2 linked regions of the Kluyveromyces lactis genome follow. The protein of the gene in region 1 purifies or fractionates together with the protein of each later gene. This does not show direct contact. Links are inferred from orthologs where the notes say so. Each region holds a gene or a part of one and is shown on either strand. Other genes may lie near its edges.

What was found.
Region 2: the proteins of MEC1 (region 1) and RFA3 purify together in Saccharomyces cerevisiae (affinity purification with mass spectrometry; 3 studies listed by BioGRID). This does not show direct contact. The link is inferred for Kluyveromyces lactis from reciprocal best matches to the Saccharomyces cerevisiae genes MEC1 and RFA3.

Annotation. Positions count from the first base shown.
Region 1 is NC_006039.1:1,367,643-1,371,995, forward strand, and holds the end of MEC1 (protein kinase MEC1), read right to left. Parts: coding exon 238-4,353; downstream 1-237. Other genes in the region: NVJ2 (Nvj2p), read left to right, coding at 1-197. UniProt on the Saccharomyces cerevisiae protein: Serine/threonine protein kinase which activates checkpoint signaling upon genotoxic stresses such as ionizing radiation (IR), ultraviolet light (UV), or DNA replication stalling, thereby acting as a DNA damage sensor.
Region 2 is NC_006037.1:587,524-589,790, forward strand, and holds RFA3 (Rfa3p), read right to left. Parts: upstream 852-2,267; coding exon 501-851; downstream 1-500. Other genes in the region: KRE9 (Kre9p), read left to right, coding at 1-255; CPS1 (Gly-Xaa carboxypeptidase), read left to right, coding at 1,690-2,267. UniProt on the Saccharomyces cerevisiae protein: As part of the replication protein A (RPA/RP-A), a single-stranded DNA-binding heterotrimeric complex, may play an essential role in DNA replication, recombination and repair.

The DNA.
Region 1 (4,353 bases):
CATCTGGGTCTTACTCCCCGACATCTCCAGATGTTTATAGGAGACATGAGATGAGCTACTCATTTACAAATAATGAAAACCTGAATCCGCATTCCATCACATCTTCAGATATTCTCGAGGAAGCAGAGAACATGATCCCGGAAATCAACGCACAGGTTCGGAAAAAACGCCCTCCTCCTCCATTGCCTCCACGCTAGAAACTTTGTAGAAAATTGTAACATAGATTTTAAGGAATAATTACCAAAAAGGCAACCAACCGATATACATTTTACTTAGATTTTCCACCGAACATGATTCTTGAGTGAGAGCTTCCACTTGCCCACTAACACTCAAAGCCAGTCCATCACGGGCATCAATGCCTCTAATTTTGTCTCGAAGAACTTTAAGGGCGTTTTGTATTGACTCATCGATTTTCCTGTCATACATAATAGTTTCAATTATGTTTACAAGACCTATTTCATTGTTTCTCATGACTCTTAGAGTAACTTCACTTGACTTTTTGAAAGTACCCTCCGTTCCAATAATACCAAATGCGTCAGTAATATTTTGCGTCAATCTGAATGGAACAATTTCTGGAACAGGAAGCTTTTTACCCTTCTCGAAAAGACAGTCAAAATCAACATGCAAGACTCTTCCTGTCAAGACATCCAAAAGGATATTTTCACAGTGTCTATCCCCGAGACCCAATATATGGCCGACCATTGCCATAACAGAGTAAGATCTGACAAATCCATTTCTTGCGTTATACCATGTGATTGGATCCGGGAAGTTGTCAAGAAACCACTGATATAAAACTGGTGGAAACTTTTTCAAACAGTCCTTATGAAACGCCAACTTTTGGTCCGAAGGTATTGATTGCCATTTTTCCTGTAATGATTTTAATGAGTATTTTATCTTCATACTTTCATATTTCATACTCAAAAGCGAACGTAACGTAACCACGTTAGGAACTATTTCTAATAGTCCACAATCTTCACGTAAAGAGAGAACACCATAAGTAGTTATTCCTAAATTTCGTTTTCTAGACTCGACATCTTTACTCAACAGGAAACTCATTGTGTTGGCAAACTGCATATATTGATTATCCTGTCTGACATCCTCTTTTTTGCACATGATGCCGTAAATATTTCCATCAGAGCCGATCACAGTGAGCTTTTTCGGTTTTTTCAAACTGTTAAATACCATGTACTGGGATGAAAATCTGGCGATGGAAACCATGACACTTTTGAATAGATCTGAGTTCATGCTCGTAGCTGTGGATGGTAAAAGCTTCTTTAAATTAATGTTGACGGGCACACACATGTCATTTGGCGCGAGTTCTAGATTAAATTTGAAATCACTATCTATTGATCTCCCTGATCTGCTAGCAGTATTCTTAACGTCTTTTATACATACCCTGGTCAATGACTGCACCAATGATATCGCTGTTCCTGGTAATTTAGTCCTTGGGTTTTTTTTCTGGAATGCTTCAACTATTTGTTTCCCTATATTCCTTCTTTCCAGGCTTTCTGAGTTCAACAAAATCGATATATACCATAGCATCACTGAAGGATATTCCAACGTCATATGAAATAATATGTTAACAATGGTGTGTATTGTCGCGGTATGAGGATGCATTAACCTGGAGAGAAGTTGAGTTAAAACGGTATACCATATATGTATACCGCAATTTTTGACTGCCGTATCGATTTTGTTGCAGATTCTTGAAGAATAATTACTAACATCAGAAATGCTATTATTCACGTCGTTTTTAGCTGTGTCTAACCAAAGTGTGACAACTTTTGGCAAGGATTGTCTTATGTTGGGAGAGCCTTTCTCGAAAGAGGTCAAAAAGTTTGTGATTGATCTATATTCTAATGAGCCATCAGAAACATATCCTTCAGCCTTTTTCTTCTCCAGAAGCTTACTGTAATACAAACCCATAGAGTAAAATGGAGCGTCCCAATTTTTATCAAAACGAATAAGCTCGTTGTATTGCTTGATAATTTGCTCAGAAACCGAGCTATTAGACAAATCCAACCACTCCGTATACTTCAATAGCACTTCCTTGAAATCTTGATTTTCGGAGGAAGCAGTAGAAGGATCATCTTTAAATCGTTTTGTTATCTCTGCAACAGTTTTCAAGGCCATATCTTTTTCACCTTGTTTCCATAAAATTTCTGCAAACTCAAGCTCCGCGGAATGGTGGTTATATTTCAAAGCATTCATCAAATCTTCTGCTGCCAAATCAAGACGATTTTCTTTACGATCAAGCTGAGAAAGTTGGAAATACACATTCGAAATGTCATTCTGTAGATGCTGATTCTTTGAAATAATTTCTACAGTTTTCCTTATTGACAAAAGATAATGATTTGGAGAAAAATCCGAACCTACGTGCGACAGCCTACCATCTAATGCTTTCGAAGCATTTGAAAATTCAGACTGAGTATGTGCGCTGCACAGCAGTTTGATATCTGTAAGTGCGTGAAGCTTTTGCAAAACTTCTCGATTCTTCAACAAAGTTGTGCTAGTAGATGGAATGGTAAATTGGGCTCCAATAAGAGTGAAACATTTGTTTATATAGCGCTCCACATTTTGCTGCTGATTTCTACTAACAGCTTGCAAAACCTTGGCAATATTATAATGCAAAAGTAATGAGGGATCGTTAAACATTTGAATGTGCTCCACTCTTTCAATCCACCTCGTTAACTCAACAATGTTACCAGTTTGACTGACAGCTTCAATACCCATATTCAACAAATCTCCGTCATTATCGACCAAGAATCCCTTCGTCTCAGGAAGATGCACTTTAACCTTCATCAATAGTTCTTCGTATAGTTGATGGCTATACATTGACTTTAACATTTTCATATTTGATGACTTAACCAGTTCTGAACTAGTGGTAGAATTAGCTGATAGCTTAAAATCACCAAGAGCTTCAAAACAGTCTTGAGCCATTTTCCAGTTTTTTGAATATTGCAGTTCTTCTATTTTTGTGGTTAAATTCCCAGTAGAAAACATCTTTAGCACACCACCTACAGCGTCTACATCCCCAATTTCGGCATATGTGTTCTGAATACATTGCAATAAGTCGGTGGACGCCAAAGACGAGGTTCCGTGTTCTCTATAACTTTGCTCAAGGTAAAGCGCTGAGCGTTCAAAGGAATCTGTTTCCAACGATTTCTTGGCGAGGGTGTCTGACGGTATTGTGTTTACGAATCTCTCAGTTCGGTCCAAAACTTGCAAAACTTTATCCTCCTGAATCATGTAAGTTCCGTTGGCTGCTTGATAGTCTTGCTTGAAACTACTAACCCATTTTTTACAGTATTCATAAACCCTGAAAATGGTATTGTAAGCCATCTTGAGCGAGTCTATCTGAAAGTGATTTAGTTGCTGAAGATCGAAATTGAAAATGAACTCGAACTCTATGGAGAGATTTTCGATGATTTTCGAATACTCGTTATGTTTATTGGCTCTGAGAATGATATCCATCGTGATGAATGGCAGTAAGAAATTTGATAATGTACCATCATCTTCTCTGATCAAAGAAGAAAAAACGTGAAGCGGATGATCTTCCTCTGTACCTATCTTAAGCAAGTCCAAAGTAAGGTTGCGTATCCACACTTGGTAGCCATCTTTCACTTTAAACGAAGGATAACTCAAGGGAACATATTCTTTCCACGACTGGGCAAGATAGAGCGACGATAGTAATGGAAACAAAGTGGTCTTAGAGATATCATTAAACCTGGACCATAATTTAGCTTCTACAGGATAATCATCGGGTCTGTTAATATCCCAATTAACTGAACTGAGCCCACAATACTTCAGAGATTCTTGCATCACCAATGCAACGAATAGTTGTTTTGTGGGGTTTTCACTTTGCCAGAATGCGGGTACTAAAATGTTGTTTACAATACTGATTAAAAATTTGACTGTTTGGGAATGATTATTAAAGTCACAAATTTCTTCAGATAGATTAGTATTCCTGGGTAGAGCATGCTTGGTAACATCTAATAGTCCTATCAGGCTAATACATGATGCTGCTATTTGACAAATTTTGAGATCTCTATTTCTAAATTTGTAAGTGGAATCAAGCAATGCCCCCAATAACGTGGACAGGTGCGACGAATCGTCATGTTTTGTTACAACGTCGACATGTTTTCTGTGAATGGTTGTGCTGAAATACTTTTCCAACTCAAGCAGGGTTTGCAAAATGACATATCTATTGTTACTTCCGAGATTTTCTGTGAAAACCTTGAGCCAGTTGGTAGTTGAAATAACCTTCAAAACCTTACGAGCAACAGTGGGATGTCTCTCTAGGACCTGAAATTCTGGGTTATTTAAAAATGCGAGAAGTATGAATGGCCTTCCTTC
Region 2 (2,267 bases), on another chromosome or scaffold:
CAGACCCAACCAGGAACTGCAATTACAGTAACAACATGGTCCAGAAGGTACGCAACGAGTGCAGTCACCTACTATACCAGTCTTCGGAACTCACTGGAACAAATGACCACTTACACCCCGGGTTGGTCCTACTCAAGAACTTCTGACTACAACTATGCAACTCCTGCGCCATTCCCCTCTGATAACGGTGGTTGGTATGACCCAACTGATAGACAAACATTAACCACCAGAAAACTGAACAACAAGAGAAGGTAAAAAGGTGATGATCCAATTATGATACAATCGTGCATGCATGCCCCTAGGGCTACTCTAATAACAATTTATTTTTTTTTGGTTGGCTTTCTGTTTAAGGATTACAAGAGATATTTTGGGTTTCCGTAATACTGCCTTCATATAAATATACTTATACAAATCAAAAAAAAAACACACACACTCATATATTTATAATTCTTTCCAGTTTTGTCCTCTCACCATCCTCCCCTCTTTTCAAACGTAAAAACTTAGTACAAATCTGGGAACTTGCCACTCAATTGTTGTAATGCAACTATACCAGAAACACTGATCTCTTCACCTTCTTTCAGCTCACATTTCACAGAATCAAGCACCATCAACCCAATATCACCGGTATCGACATTTCTGCAAACAAATTCGTACCAGGATCCAACCTCAATGTTACTTCCTTGTGACAGTTTCACTTGTGATAGCGTTATCATTTCTCCATTGGTTGTTGGAGATTGTAGGATTAACTCTTTTGGTTGTGGTTGATCTAACACCTTGGCTATGATACGAAACACTGAGTGCTGAGTATTGCTTATTTGGCTCGGGTCAATTCTTGGCGTTTGGTTGGACATCACTAGCGGTTGTTGGTTGCTGGTTGCTGCTGTTAAAGATGAGTCTGCTGTAATGACAAGTTCACGCGTTTTAACAAGATGCATTTAATATACAGAAATATAAATAAATTGATAACACAGGTTTTCGTGTGCAACTTTGTGACCGGGTAACATACAATTGGAAATTTTTCTTTTGATTTCATGACAACGGTCACGTGAACGCTATTTTTTCTTTCTTGTCATTCCACCAATTCCCAATAGAAGATCCATGCGGCCAGAGGAATGTAATGTGCATTATGTAATGAACAGATTCCTCCATGAAAAATCCAGGTCAATTGTATCAGTCTTAAAGTATGCTGACTCGACCTCGTCTTGTTCTAAACAGGCTGGAATTTGCCCATTTTTTTCGATATCCTCTCTGCCTTTTTTTTTTTTTTGCCCAAGCTTAGAAGTTGTCAGCTGCATGCTTCATGCTGGCTGCATAAAATATCAGCAAGATTATTCTCGGTCTTCGGTGCCTCTAAACGTACATACGGAAACAGAGTACAACAGAGGTACGGTATACCTGGATGTGTTCTTATAATGCACATATATATAGGTAAGTAGGTAAGTAATATGGTTTGTCAATCCACGGGCTTGTCCCACTTTTGGCTCTGGCATTTTGCTGCATCTTGGAACGCATTTATTTTCAATTGTTCTTTAGTCTCGAGAAGTCCCTTTTTTTTTGATAATTAAAATTTTAAAGATAATCAGCTCATCTTTAAGGCACACAGGTGGATAACAAGTGGATACCCTTGCTTTAGAATCGTATTAAACTCTATTGTAGGGTTCGTGTATTATCAAGGGCTCTAAAAGAAATATGGCAGACGAGAAACGTGATAAGCAGCCGGTGAAAGGCTCCAGTTCGAAGACTTTGGTTCTTCTATTGGCTTCGCTCTTTTTAGCGGGTTTTGGGTATTTGCTCCATAACCAGAATTACGACATCGAACAAGTCAAATCGTTGGTTGACCAGCATTTCAGTAATACGTTTGGAACTTCCATTGGAAAATTGGTAGTTGAAGAAGAAAATGATGATGATGAGATTGATTTTGACTCTGTATGCTTGAAGACAGAGCCAATTAGCCCATCCGGTGAGAGCTCCATAGAGAAGATTTTGAACGATGCTGAGTATAAGAAATTAGCTATTGAAAAGCTATCCGGTGCCTTGCAAATTCCTACTGAGATTCAAGACGTCAACCCTAGACCAAAGGATAATATTGAATATTATTCGGAGTTCTTTAAATTTCACAAATATTTGGAAGAACAGTATCCATTGGTTCATAAACATTTAAAGAAGGAATTGGTTAACGAGGTTGGATTGGTTTATACCTGGGCTGGTTCCAACGCGGATTTGAAACCTGTTATGTTCACTGCACACCAAGATGTTGTGCCAGTGAA